Mus musculus: one gene and its partner. The protein of the gene in region 1 interacts with the protein of each later gene in a pairwise test. Links are inferred from orthologs where the notes say so. Each region holds a gene or a part of one and is shown on either strand. Other genes may lie near its edges.

Evidence for each region. The genes of interacting proteins can lie anywhere in the genome.
Region 2: the proteins of Ccdc33 (region 1) and Ptk6 interact in a two-hybrid assay, tested with the Homo sapiens proteins (2 studies listed by BioGRID and IntAct). The two-hybrid records come from large-scale screens. The link is inferred for Mus musculus from reciprocal best matches to the Homo sapiens genes CCDC33 and PTK6.

Annotation. Positions count from the first base shown.
Region 1 is NC_000075.6:58,114,240-58,122,597, reverse strand, and holds the start of Ccdc33 (coiled-coil domain-containing protein 33), read left to right. Parts: upstream 1-3,774; 5' UTR 3,775-3,853; coding exon 3,854-4,163; intron 4,164-4,966; coding exon 4,967-5,295; intron 5,296-5,391; coding exon of another isoform or gene 5,392-5,394; coding exon 5,395-5,511; intron 5,512-8,358.
Region 2 is NC_000068.7:181,191,972-181,198,647, reverse strand, and holds the end of Ptk6 (protein-tyrosine kinase 6), read left to right. Parts: intron 1-106; coding exon 107-268; intron 269-1,521; coding exon 1,522-1,703; intron 1,704-2,193; coding exon 2,194-2,347; intron 2,348-2,691; coding exon 2,692-2,879; 3' UTR 2,880-3,524; downstream 3,525-6,676. UniProt on the Homo sapiens protein: Non-receptor tyrosine-protein kinase implicated in the regulation of a variety of signaling pathways that control the differentiation and maintenance of normal epithelia, as well as tumor growth.

The sequences.
Region 1 (8,358 bases):
GCAGTTTCTGTTTTACAAGATAAATAATTCTATCTAGATCTTGATAACATAGCAAAGAGAAAATCCTCCTGAACTGTACTTTAAAATACTTACCTATCTGCTTATATATATATATATATATATATATATATATATATATGTATGTAATTAAAAAAATAATTGGTGTTTTGGTGTTGCTCCTTTTCTTCTTGTAGCCCAGACTGGCCTCAAACTTGATATGTAGTCAAGGATAACCTTGAACTTCTGACCTTCCTGCTTCTACCCCCTGTATTATACTCATATGCATGTGGTTCTGAAATCAAACGTCAGGCTTGGTGTATGCTAGGCAAGAATCCTAGCAATTGAGCTACCTCCCCAGATCAAGGGTTTTTGTTGTTTTCTTTCTTTATTTTTTTACATCTATCTGCCTGCCTGTCGGTCTGTCTTTCTACTATCTATCTATCTATCTATCTATCTATCTATCTATCTATCTATCTATCTATCTATCTCGTGTATGTGAGTGAACTTTTGTTCCAGAGAGCTCAAGTGGAGATCAGAGGACAATTTTTTGGGAGTTGGTTCTCTTCCACTGTGTAGGTTCCAGGAATCGAACTCAGGCTGTCAGGCTTGGTAGCAAGAAGTGCTTTTACCCACTGAGCCATCCCATCAATTTCGTTTTTGTTTGGGTTTTTTGGTTTGTTTTTTAAGTACATGCAACACACACACACACACACACCCTAGAGACAGAGTAGGCAAGGGATACTTGGAAAGGGTGGGATGCCAGATAGTGGAGGGTCCTAAACGATGCTGAAGCTAAAAAGCCACCTCAGAGGCTTTGTGACAACATGGAGAGGTCATAGGGGAGAACAATAGTTCTGAAGGGAATGGAAGGCCCAGCTGAGAAGACCCTCAGTTCTTCTGCACACAGGCCTCGCCTTCTGGAGCAGCGTGGGAAGGGCACAGTGTGCAGAGGTCACTGGGTCTTGGAGCAGGTCGGATGGATTCTCATCTATGACATTTCTGGAAGTGGCTTCAGACATACAAAAGAAGAGAGCTGGTTAAGCAAGCCACCTTGTTTCAGGACAGACAGGCAGAAACAAGCCACAGCCTCTAGTTCATGGCTGGCCACATGCAAGTTTTCAGGTAGCCTCTGCCATCCATCACCTCCCCCCCCAAAAAAGAAACCCAGCCATATTCTGTGGCCCTTTCCCTGTGTGACTTTCAGGGTTCCAAACCTCTAGAACTATAGGATGGCTTCTCTATCCTATATCCACTGTTGCCCATCATACTGAAGAGACGGGACCTCCTGAATGTCATCTATATGTTGAGTCACTAGAATTCTTCCTCAGTGTCTCCTTGGGGACCAGAGGAAACTGAATTTGATAGCTGTAAAGGAAGCCTGCCACATATAATGGGACCCTTAGCTGGGCTTGCCAGCGGCCACCTTCAGATCAGTGCCTCTTCCTTTATGAAAACGATTTCAGCTGACACAGCTAACTGTAAGAGAACTGTTCTGAATGCAAACTGTGCCGTTCACAAGCATCCTCTACAGACTCAGACCTGTCCTTCTACAGCTTCAGGCTACAGGGTTTCTCCAGGAGAAGGTATCACGTCTTTGGGTCAATCTTAGGACATGTTTTGTAAGGGAATATGTAGCTTGACTGGACTCCTTAGGTTCAGAGCTCAGTTCTCACTGGCCATTTGATCTGTGAAGAGTGCCTGAACTTTCTTTCAGCCTCGTGCTGCCTGTTTAGAAAACAGGAACTAGTTATGTCCACCTTATAGAATCACAAGACTGTCTGGTGAAACTGCTCAGGGGAATGTCATCGCCAATGGTAATGATATTAACATTATCAGCTGATGATAAGGATGGCGGTAGTGACACAGGGGTGACAATGGTTCTGTTAATGGTGGTGGTGATGGCGCTAATTGTTCAGGTCCAGATGGTGTGAAATTCCTTCCTCAAGCAGGAAGCCTGACGCCTGACGCCTGCCTGACGCAGATGTGTGGCCCCTTGACTGTGGAAAACAGCAGGCAGGAGATAAAGCCAGTGCAAATGTCCCCCAGCAGGAGAAAAATTAGGCCACAAATTCAAGGAAGGGCAAAAGAAAGAACTCAGATAAGGAGGTCAAAGAGACCATGCTTGGGGCTGGAGAGATGATTCAGTGGTTAAGAGCACTGGCTGTTCTTCCAAAGGGCCAGGGTTCAGTTCTCAGCACCCACACGGCAGCTCACAATTGTCTGCAATTCCGGTTCCAGAGGATCTGACCCCTCATACAGATATTCATGCAGGAGAAAAACAATGCACACAAAATAGAAATAAATCAATGTACATAAAATAGAAATAAATAGATTATATATACAAACATATACATATATACATGTGTGTATACACACACACACACACACACACACACACACATATATATATATATAAAAGAGACTTGCTCAAGTTCTGCTTGTAATGCCATCTCTAGTAGCTAGATAATATATAAACAGCAGTGGGAAAATAAAATTTGTTCATTCTTAAAGGGAACCCAGAGTCTTGTGTCTCTTTCTACCATTATTCTTCTTTCCTGTACTTCCCAAGACTGTGCTGGACACAGTAGGTAGTGATGGTGGCGGCGTGGTGGTGATAGTAGTGGCAGCAGACTTAGTCTCTTTTGAATAGTGTCTAGGATCCTCTGATTTCCATTGAAACCCAGGACAAAGAAGCACAGACTCTAGACTGACAACCTAGCTTTGAGAGGCCAAGTTCTCTGTAAAGCTGTATGTCTTGTATAAGGTAAGCTGGTTGCAGAAGCAGACATGGACCATATATTCCCTTACCCTGGAGACCTCTCCCATATCCATACTAAGGACTCCCAGGTAGAGACAGGTTCCCCAGAAATGGAGAGTTCTGAATACCACATACTCATGTGCCCCCAATTTTCTATAGAATGTATGAAGTAGATCATCTCTTAGCACACTTGAGAATTTGGTTGTGTGTGTATGTGTTTGTGTGTGTGTGTGCATGCATGCATACATGCTGTGTGTATGGTTTAAGGATTTATATATGTTATGAGTACAAATGTGTGTACAAGTACACATGTGTATGTGTTTGTATCTGTGTGTATGTTTGTGTGTACAGGTACACATGTGTGCATGCTTGTGTGTGTGTGTTTGTGTGTACAGGTACACCTGTGTGCATGTTTATGTATGTGTGTTTGTGTGCACACATACACATGTGTGTGTTTGTATGTACAGGTACATGTGTGTGTGTGTGCATGTAGATACCAGAGGTCAACCTCAGATGTTATTCCTCAGGACTCTTACTTTTTTTAAGACAGGAACTTACTGATTCTCCTAGATGGACTTCCTGCCTGGGCCTTCCCAGGACTAAAATGATAAGCATAGCATACACAACCATTCCTAGTTTCCATGGGTCCTGGGAATCAAACTCAGGTTCTCATGCTTGTGCATCAAGTACATTACTGACCGAGTCCCAGCCCTGATCATTCATTTTCCATATTTCTTGTTTATCTTTGTCTTCTCTACCCATTACCTTCACTAGAAGACAGGCTTCAGGAGGGCAGGAATGTGTCTATTTCACTGCTATATTCAAAATGCCCAAGACAGCACCTCATATACAGTAGGTTCTCAATAAATATTTACTGAGAGATCAAATGCTAAATGGGAAGAATTAATTGATGCCTTTGTTCCCCAGTTCAGGCTCAGTTTCCTGGCTTGTTGCCTGGATCCTTCTCAAACAAACAGAGAAGGGTGAGGTGTGGCCCCAAGTGCCTAATCTGTCTTCTTTCCGACTGGACCCAGGATGGGACTGTGAGCAGGAGAGGGCAGGGCTCAGCCTGGAGTTCTGACCCTGGCTGAAGCCATGGCCTTTAGAGGTCCTGATCCCTACCTCCCTGCATCCCTGCTGAGCCAGCGACTGAAGGCTGGAGAGAAGACACTGGACCTGGAGTTTGAGATCTTGAGTGTGGGATTTAATGAGGAGGGCCGGTACGCCCTGAGGCTGTCAGCTGAAAACCCACTGCAGGCAGGCTCCAGTGCTGGGGTGCAGTTGCAAGTCAATGATGGGGACCCCCTTCCAGCCTGCTCAGCTGTCACTGAGGTCATTGAGCAGCAGGATCCTGGCCAGAGCCTCACCTTCACCAGGAACAAATTTATCTTCACTCTGCCCAAAGGTACAAAGTGAAGTCAAGGGTTGGGGGGGAAGCAGGATCTTTGGGACTTCTGCCCTAGAGCTGATCAGGACCCTGGGGGACTGCAAGGGACCTGGACAGCCAGAGGCAGAGCTCCAGCCTTAATTCTAAGCTCTGCCTGTGTGACTATGTGGCCTTGGGCAAACGCTGGTCCTGTAAGGTTCCTGCTTCCTTCAGCGTGGCATGGATGCTGAAACTGTTCTCATAGAGGGCAAAGGTGAAGAGGAACTAAAGGGGGATGTGAATTTGATAGAGACAAAGCCCACAGCATGTTTAGACCTAGGCAGTGAACGGTACATGGATGAAGTGATGCTAGAAGCCCCCTGAGTTCCTTCTGATTGTAGGGATAGAGACTGGACAGACATGAATGGATAGAAGATCCTGGTCTTACTTTCTGGGAGCTTCCAGACTGGGTACAAAGAGGCAGGAATTTTAAGTCAAAACTAGCTAAGTAATCTAGAAGATCCAGGCTTAGACAGAGGACTTACCAGACAACAGTCCTGGTGTATATCCCAGGCTAAGGTTAGCCAAACTCTTCCCTGGTGTCAGAACCCAGAACAATTCCATGGGCTATAGGCCTCCTCACTCTGGTGGGGTCACATGAGGCATAGGTAAACCAAAGGAGTCTTGAGTGAGGGCTGAGAGGAGTCAGCCACAAGGGAATTCTTAGCCGAGCTCACTTGGATTCAGTTCAAGTTGCCCCAGGGCCCTGGATGTCCTTCTCACCCCTTGGAGAAGGGAGGGAGATCCTAAAGACCACATTTAAAGCCATGTTCTCCACCCAGGGTTCTGTAAGAATGATGGGCAGAGTGATGCACATCTGCGTGTGGAGGCTCTGAGGCTGGATGGATCCTCAGGACAGGAGGCTCAGAGGGTAGGTGAGGCCATCTTCCCCATTTACCCACGACCAGATGAGCCCCGAATGAACCTCACAGCACAGGATCATGAAGACCTGTACCGCTATTGTGGCAACCTGGCTCTTCTCCGAGCCAGCGAGGACCCCACAGCCCGCCACTGTGGGGGCCTGGCTTACAGTGTGGCCTTCCATGTGCACAGGGACCCTAGGTCCTCTGTCTCAGACTGTCAACTGGAACCCAGCCAACCAGAGCTACAGGTAGGTGCTCCTGGGTCCCAGTTCAGGACACAGCCTTTGATGAAACTGGCTGTCTGCAGCCCTACAGTCCCCAACCTCAATCTCCTACGTTCTCAGCAGACTTCGAGGGAGGCCCTGAGTGACAAGATAGAAGAATCTTATATGAGCCCATTCAGCACTGACAGTGACCAGGAGGGGCTCAGCTGGGAAGCAGGACCCTGGCAGCATCCGGCTCAGGTGAGGGGCACCAGCCCTTCTGTGGGAGGGTTCCCTACTACGTTCTCTCTCATTTAGGCATCACATCCAATTGAGAACTCACAGAGCAAGCAGTAGTTCATTGCACAGATGGAGAAAACACACCTCAGGATTCTAGGTTCCACGAAATGTCAACAGTTACTGGAAACCTCAGGACATACATAGTAGCGTGTGGTACCCAATGCCAGGACAGCCACTAAGTATGGAATGTCACTAGAGCCAATACATTTGGATAAAATATTGGTATTACACACAGTCCTTGACACTGTCATGAAGGCTCTGAAAGGGGTCAGGGTGTAAGCCCAGGACAGGCTTTCTCAGAAGATGTGTCATTTTGAAAGGGCTCTTTGCTTCCTTCCTCACTCATTTACGGGCTCCTCCATCCTGTATTTGTCTTTCAGACTAGGTGAGTGAGGTTTACGGGTAGCAATTTGGAGAAGGTTCCATGGGTGAGGTCTAGTATAAGCTAGCAAAGAGAAGAAGGTGGCTCAGTCAGCGGGCAGCAGAGGGACGAGTTGAGATGGAGCTCAGAGCTTGCTCTCTCTCCCTCCCCCCTCTCCCTCTGCCTTCTCTCTCCCTCCACCCCCCTCTCCCTCTCTCTCTAGCTCCTCCCCGCCCACACACTTTTCTTGCCTGGCACTGAGTAGAGGCAGGGAGGGAAACTGAGTTAGGTCATGGAGAGGTTCAATAGGGAAAGAAGTGGGAGGAGCTGAAGCTATCCTGGCACCGAGCAGAGGGAGGTATTCAATTCTGGAGGCAAAAGGTGAGGTGTGGGAGGGGCCTGTAAGGACAGGATTGTATGCAAAGTAAGCAGGCAGCATGTGACAGGGACCCAGAAGCAATGCTCTCATCCAGGCCTCTAACATGGCCCACTCTGACCTTTGTCCATTCATTTCTCAATCAATGAACACACCTTTCTGACCTACTCCTGTGCTCAGCCCCAATCCGTTCTGGAGGCTAAGTGTATGGACGAGATGGACAGTCTAGGTGAGGCTGAAACTCCCTGTGCTCCTAGCCTGGGCCCAGCTCCTCTGTCTAATGCTATCATCTAGGGACAGACACTCTGGAGGAGGTCAAGAACTCAGGAACTGTCCCTGCTCTTTGGGTCTCCCTGGCCTGGCCAGCCTGAGGCACATGGATGTGGATGGTGTACTCAGGCTACAGTGTAAAATGGGTGAAAGGAGGTTGGGAACTGCTGCGGGGAGGAGGGCTGGCGCGATGGCTGCAGTCGACCTCAGCAGCTCTAATTTCTGTTATTTAAAGCTATCATCTCTGCGCCATACTCCCTCTTAAAGTGTCAGATGTCTGCTTCTACCGAGACAAGAAAATAGCTTTCAGGGGAGAGGAAAATCACACCCCTTAGGGGGGATGGGAGGGGTCAGCAATCACAGCCCTGATGGCAGTGCCAGAGCCACAGACAATGGAGGCTTCCCTGTGAACAAGGGAAGGGTGCTTGTAGTTAGACAGACTCAGCCCAGCAGCTCAGGCTAAGGAGAGCAAGCTCCTGTCCCTATAGATACCTGGGGGCGGTGGCAGGACACAAAGGGCTAGTGGGGCTCTATTGCTCTTTGGACCTGTATCCTGGAACTATAGGAGCCCCAGCAGTCATATTGTCTCCCTGCCTTGTGGATAGGGACAGGAAGTCCAGATAAGAGTATTTCATAAGAAAAGGACATTCCCCAGGAGAGAGGGGCTTCCCCTGGCTTTCTGGTTGACAGCTGAAGAGGAGAGAGGAAGGCAGTGAACAGGGGGAATAAAAGGGACAAGAGAGAACTTCATTTTGGGGCTCCAGAGCAACCTCGGCAACATTCAGTTCAAGCCCAAGAACAAATTTCTGGGCTCCAGGAGCAAAAGCTTCAATTCAAAGGCATTTCCTCCAGGAAGCTTTCCCCAGCACAGGGTTCATCCATTCAACCCTGTTCTCAGCCCTGCTGGCACCAGACGGCTCAACAACTGGTTCAGTGTAGGACTTTGGTTTCAAGAGTGCTTTTTGCTTTACATGGTGTGTGACATTTTCTCCCAAGCATAACAGTTAAAGGTCATGGGGTGGGGCAATAGAACAAGAAGATGAAGGGCAGGCAGGCATCTAACTGGGCTACAGGGAAAAGGGCTAAGTATCCATGTCTGCTGACTGAGTCTGAATCCTTTTGCTTCCTAGCCATGGTGCCCTTGGTTCTAAATGGCCACACCAAATGTTGTTGCTCTGAGCTAATATTTTCCAGGGGGTGGGGGCGGTTAGCAGGAACTGTTCCCGAGACTATTTCCAACAGGAGCAGCCAGAGACTGAGGGTGGAGGTCCCTCAGGGGTGCCCTGATTCACCAAGGAGGACCCTAGGAGCACACTGGCAGGAGCTACCCCAAGTTCCCTGCAGCCAACGGCTGTCATCCTCCCCTGGGGCACAGGGGCTTCCTTAGAAGCCTGCCCTTTCCTGATACTACCTGTATTCACTTCCTGGAAGCTTTGAGATCACACAACTAATCCTCTGTCTTTGTCTAAAAGATGGTTCAGTGATCAGAGAGGAAGCAGGTGGTCTGTACAGTGCTGGGAAGAGGGACCTGGGGGAGAAGAGTAGAAAGTGCAGGCAAGCCTGAGCTATGACCAGCTCCCCCCTCCCAAATACCCTACTGTGTCTCCTGGTGAGGTTGGGGAGGGAAAAGAGGACCGGTGTCTTCAGTCCCTGAGCCATTCTGCCCTCAAAGGTCACTAGTTGAGGGACATCTTCCCACAGGCAGAGCTGTTGAAGAGGGAAACTTTGAACTGGAAATCCCCAGGTAAGGAGTTTCTGGAAACATGAATTGAATTCCTTGCTCATAGTTCCGGGGGCCACC
Region 2 (6,676 bases), on another chromosome or scaffold:
CTTCCTAGGCTGACCACATTGCCTGACTTGCTTCAGGAGGTCTGGGCCAGGATCCTGTTTGGGGCACAGGTCGAGGGCTATACTCACTGAGGTTGATGTCTCTCAGACAATCTCCTGCACCAGCACACCTTCCAGGCTGAGATTCAGGCCATGAAGAAGCTGCGGCACAAGCACATCCTGTCACTGTACGCTGTGGCGACTGCAGGGGACCCGGTCTACATCATCACGGAGCTCATGCCCAAGGGGAACCTGCTGCAGCTACTGCGTGGTACGTGCAAAGCTCCAGTCTCCTTTCCCGGGTGAAAGTGCTGGAGGCAGCATTTGGAGGCACAGACAGCCTGCTCTCTGAGCTTGAGGCCAGCCTGGTCTACAGAGCAAGCTCCAAGACAGCCAGGGCTACACAGAGAAACCCTGTCTCAAACCTTTCTCCTTTCCCTCCCCAAACCCCCCAAAACCAAAGATATAAAACAATCAAGGAAAGACATGCACATGTACACATGTATACATGTGCACACACCCTTAATAATGAGTACATGCATTACATCACACATGCTACATTGCCTCATACATACAAATCGTTAAAAAAAAAAAAAAAAAACCAATGGTGGGAGAGATGGCTCAGTGGGTGAAGTGCTTGCTAGGCAGGCACGAGGACCTGAGTCTGAGTCCCCAGAACTAGTTAGTGTAAAGGCAAGCACAGGAGTGGGCTTCTGTTACCTGAGTCTGAATCCTCAGAACTAGTTAGTGTAAAGGCAAGCACAGGAGCGGGCTTCTGTTACCCCTAGGCTTCTACGGTGAGATGGGAGGCAATGGGAGAATTCTTGTTTTATCTGGCTCAGTAGCAAACCACAAAACCATCCTGGAACACGTCACTGGTGAAGACTAACACCCGATGTTGTCCTCTGACTTCCACATACATACACACACACATCATACATACATACATAACAAAAGAGACAAGTAAATGGTCTTATTAAGTACAAAAAAAATCTACCAATTGCTGATCATAAAATTTGAAAAAGTACAGAAAAGAACTCTCCCTCACAATTTCTATCCTCACAGTTAGCTGAGGTTACTTTACTATAGGCTTGTGTAGCCTGCTAGTGACTTGCCTTAGCCCACCAGCTTCTCTCTAAATTCTAAATTCTCTCTCTTTCTTTGTGTTTCTCATAAAGAGCTTGATCTCATAAGCAGTTTCTGCAGGAAGAAGTCTCCAGAGATGAAACTCATGCCCCTTGTAGGTGTAGTACTTGCTGGCTGCGCATTATCTAGAGTGTTCAATGGCTACATACCAAGAATATCTTGCAGCAATGCTCTTGACCTTAGATTGCTTTATGATTCCCAGAAAGGGTGTCAGACAAAGAATATGCTCTTTGTCTCTAGGTACATAGCTGCAGAAGGTCTAGGCCTTCCCATTTTGCAATTAAGCCAAGCCAGCTGCTCTTTGCTGTAGCCTTCGTAGCCACAGTAAATGAGGACTGGTCTCTGGCCAGCTGACTCTGGCCTTTGATCACCCTACAGACTCTGATGAGAAAGCCCTGCCTATTTTGGAGCTGGTGGACTTTGCATCACAGGTTGCTGAGGGCATGTGCTACCTGGAATCTCAGAATTACATCCACCGTGACCTGGCTGCAAGGAACGTTCTTGTTACAGAGAACAATCTCTGCAAAGTGGGGGACTTTGGGCTTGCCAGGCTTGTCAAGGTAGGTCCCTTGGAGGTAGGAGACAGAAGCAGGAGGTGGGGCTTTATCTCCCAAGCCTTGAGCTGAACCTAGCCATAAGCAAGATGGGTTCCTGATAGGGTGGCGTTAATAGGCAAGCAAGATGGCTTTATCTATACAGCCACAGCCTTGTTCATACCCTACTGATCTAGCTTTGAGAACCTAGACAGACATAGCCATGTACCTAGAGATTTTCCTGTATTCATGCATTGTAACTCTGCTCTTGTCTTTCCCTGACCCAGAATTCTAGTGAATTGGCATATTTACTGGGCCTAGCCATGATTCTGGCAGCATTGGTGGTAGCTACCCATGGTAGCAGTGGGGTGGTGTTAGTGGGTCAGACAGCAATAGGCAATGTGGTTGTCCCTGCTCACCAGGACCTTGGAGTCCATGCTTGTCAGTGCTACACAAGAAGGGTACAAGTGGCAGCTCTCTCTAGTGTCAGGTCCTACCATAAGACATCTTACCACAGGAGGACATCTACCTTTCCCATGAGCACAATGTCCCCTACAAATGGACAGCACCTGAGGCACTTTCCCGAGGGCATTACTCCATCAAGTCTGATGTCTGGTCTTTTGGAGTTCTTCTTCATGAAATTTTCAGCAGGGGGCAGATGCCCTACCCAGGTATTGCCCCAAGAATGTCTCCAGGGGTGGACAAATAGTGAGCTAGAGTCAGGGCAGGTCTTGAATGGGTGACAGAGATGACAGGAGGTGTTTCCCAGGGCCTCAACCAGACCCCACCCCTGTTTCATTCCTCGAGCATCTGGGAGCATGCTTTTGGGATCATTTCTGGGAGACACCATCCACAGGGAAGGGAACATCCATGGACAGTGTGCTACAACATGTCCAGGGCATGATGGTGGTCATTCTAGCAGGGGTCAGCATTCAGGGAGGAGCCAAAGGAAGCTGGGTGTGGCTTCCAGGGATCAGTCTCCTAGCTCTCATTTCTCTTCTCCCATGGGCCACAGGCATGTCCAATCATGAAACCTTCCTGAGGGTGGATGCCGGCTACCGCATGCCCTGCCCTCTGGAGTGCCCACCCAACATACACAAGCTGATGCTCAGCTGCTGGAGCAGAGACCCCAAGCAGAGACCTTGCTTCAAAGACCTGTGTGAGAAACTCACAGGTATCACCAGGTATGAGAACCTGGTCTGAGCTCCTTGGACGTGGCCAGGACCCACAGAAGAGGGCCTCGTGATTATCCTGGACTTCTATTGAAGGCATGAACCATCCTTCAGTTTACTGAGATGAAGGGATAGGAAACATACCAAACATACCTCAAATACTGCGTTTTGTCAAGGAAAGAGTAAAGAGGCTCCTTTCCCTTTTTTGGGGGGGGGGGGTTTCGAGACAGGGTTTCTCTGTATAGCCCTGGCTCTCCTGGAACTCACTTTGTAGAGGAGGCTGGCCTCAAACTCAGAAATCTGCCTGCCTCTGCCTCCCAAGTGCTGGGATCAAAGGCGTGCGCAACCCGGCTTCCTTTCCCTCCTCCAGGAGGCAATACACAAAATCCAGAAAGTCACTCTCTGGCTTCTTCCTCCCTTCTCCTGTGAAGACTTCATGTGACAGAGAAGCCAAGAAGAGTCTAGGCAACAGGCCTTGTGGAGTTCTTTTCATACCACTTTTGGAGCTTGACTGTCCACAAACACATACCCTACCCTTTAGCACCTTAATTCTGCAGGATCTTATGCCACATACAACCCAGAACAAGTTTACATGATTTTCTCTTTATAACCTTGGTTTTGTTGGAGGATCCTCACCTAGAAAGTTGAAGACAGAGATAAATGGATATGAAATTTCTGCTTTGTGGTTTCCGGTGCCCAGTGGGGAGTGAGTGCTTGAGATACCCAATCACCTGGGGTCCGCAGAAGCAGAGGGAAGACGATGGAGTCAGTAAGAGCCAGGAGATTTTCTTGTTTGCTTTTTCCAAGACAGGTTTTCTCTATGTAGCTCTGGCTGTCCAGGAAGTCATTCTGTAGACCGGGATGGCATTAAATTCACAGAGATCCACCTGCCTCTGCTTCCCAAGTGCTGGGATTAAAGGCATGTGCTACTGTTGTTGCCTGGCAGAGCCAGGATTCTTAACCATGTGGGCAGAGGCAGCTCTTCTGCATCTCTGCCCGAGGCTCTGCACTTGTTTCTAAAGTCAAACTCGGTCTGAGCTTGTGAGTCTGGTGTTTACTTTCAGAGCTCCGTGTCCTTTCCCTTCAGAGATGCTTTTGCCCTGGGTTCCTGAGGCAGGATACCCTTATATCCTGTGCCATCCTCTGATTCCCATTTGGACCCGAGTTTTCCAAGATGGCTCTGGTCCAAGGCTGCTCTCCCTCATGTGTCTTCAGTGCTTTTGAACCCATACTTGACCCATAAAGGCTAGACAGGCTATCTGTTCTCCATTTCATCTCCTTATGTACTTGGAGATTAGAACCCCAGTTCTGAGGGGGAGTATCCCAAAAGCACGTACCCGAGGCTACCTGACTGGAAGTGGGCATAATTCTCTGATGACATGTCTACAGCCACGTCCAGATTGCCCTCTCACAACAGGTGAAGATGCCGCAACCTTCCTTACAGAAACATCCTCTCTGTATCCTAGAGATGACACTTTCTGTACTGCTTCCTGTAAAGCAGCTCTCTGGGATGTAACGTCGTCACTAGATAGGGAGAGCACAGGAAAATGTTTGGAAACAGGGCAAATGAAAACCTTTGAATAAAGTCTTTTGCATAGACATTCATCAAAAATTTCCCCTCTCTCAGTAACTGAACCTTTCATTTTCACCAAGAACAGAATTTGGACTGGGCTTGGTGGTGCACATCTTTAATCCTAGCACTTGAGAGACAGAGGTAGGCAGATCTCTGTGAGTTCCAGGCCAGCCTGGTCTATGTAGCAAATTTCAGGGCAGCCAGAGCTACACAGGGAGACCCTGTTTCATAAAAACAAAAATAAATAAAAAAGAACAAAATTTGTATAAAAATCCAAGTGGACATAAACTGAATCAGGACTAAACGTTCTAAAATTAAAGCTATAGGGACCGTGTACATTTGGCTGTTTGTAGAGTCCTTCCCCCAGTTATAGAGGGGACAACCCTGGTACACTTCTTTAATCCCAGCACTTGTGAAGCAGATTCAGGTATATCTGTGTGTTTGGGAGCAGCCTGGTCTACAGAGTTCTAACATGCAAAGAGTGACCCTGTCTCAAAAACAAGGAAACAACAAAATAAAAAAAAAAAAACAAAAAAAAAATCTCTTACAGTTCTGTTTGGACTGGTCTAGAGATGAGTGCTCATTAAATATCCCTAAAATCTCTCAGAAATATAGAAACAAAGTCAAATGTTCTTAAAGATCACATGATCTAGAATAATGTAAAATAAAAAACAGGAATGTTTCCAGACCTGTCCAACATGAACACAGTATAGCTAGACCAGTTGTTCTCACCTTCCTAATTCTGCGACCCTTTAATGCAGTTCCTCATATTGTGGTGACATCTAACCATAAAATTACTTTTGTTGCTACTCCGTAACTGTAATTTTGCTACTGTTATGAATTATGAATATTTTTGGAGATAGAATTCCCTTTTGTCAAAGAGGTTACAACCCAAAGGTTGAGAGCTACTGAGATAGACTTTTTTTTTCTTACCAGGGTTTAAACAAGTTTCATTCTACTGAGTATTTAAAATGCTAAAAGGAGAAATGAAACCCAAGGGTAGAATAGAGGAAGGGACGAAGGGGATGGTCTTGCTTTTGTGGTGTTGGTGACATTTGCCTGACTTGTTAACAAGAGCAATTTTAGTGCTGATACCTTGTAACACGCCTGTAACTGTTGAGTGGACAGAAATGTAAGTGGAGTGAAAGCTAAATGAACTCCTCAACAGTAATTTTAATTTATAAAAAGCATCCCACAACCTTAAGTTTGTTCAGGCTTGAGAGATGTAGTTAACAAATCAGCTTTGGGGTCATTCCTAAGGAAACAAGCTTAGGCTGATCTGCTATGGCCTCCTGTTTTTACACAGAATGGAGGTAGTTGTGCTTGGGTCTATAGTATGCAGAGCTGTGCAATGAAGGGCATCCTACTACAGTGCCCACAAAGGTTTTCTTCAGTGGCATGTTGGCTACCATAGCTCGTGGGTGCTAGGGACTCTAAGAGTTAAGAATAACAACATATGTAATTAGAACCACTAGAAATAACAAGGAAAACCACCTACGTGCAAAGCGTTCAGGGAAACTCCATTTGTGGTAAGGTTATACATTATCATTTAGAGAGAATAGTCACTGAAGGCTAACATAGGACTTGTTCTAAATTATGAAAAAGAAAAATAGGGAGAGAAAGCTGATGGATCATTATTGTTTTGTTTTCTGAGACAGGGTTTCTCTGTGCAGCCCTGGTCATCCTGGAACTAGCTCTATAGCCCAGGCTGGCCATAAACTCGGAGATCCACCTGCCTGTGCCTCTGCCTCCTAGTGCGGAGACTAAAGGTATACATCCCCACATGCAGCTTGTTGATGGATGCTTTTTCAAAGTGCCTTCCAAAGGTCTGGTGGAATGGAATCTTATCTCATATAGTCAAAGGTAAGGACTGAAAGGATTTAAGAGTTCTTTTAAATAGCTCAGAGGCTGGGACTGCAGCTCAGTTGGCAGAGCACTTTCCTAACACACGTGACATCTTGAGTTTCATCCCCAACAGTGCATACACCAGGTTTGGTGATGCATACCCAAGTTCCTATTATTTAGGAGGTAGAAAGAGGAGAATCAAAAGTTCAAGGGCATTTTCACCACAAAAGATTCAAGACCAACTTGTGTAACTGTGGGCTTTTCTTCCTGACCACTTTGTTCCCAGAAATAATGAGACTCTGGGGGGCTGGTGAGATGGCTCAGCGGGTAAGAGCACCCGACTGCTCTTCCGAAGGTCAGGAGTTCAAATCCCAGCAACCACATGGTGGCTCACAACCATCCCTAAGAGA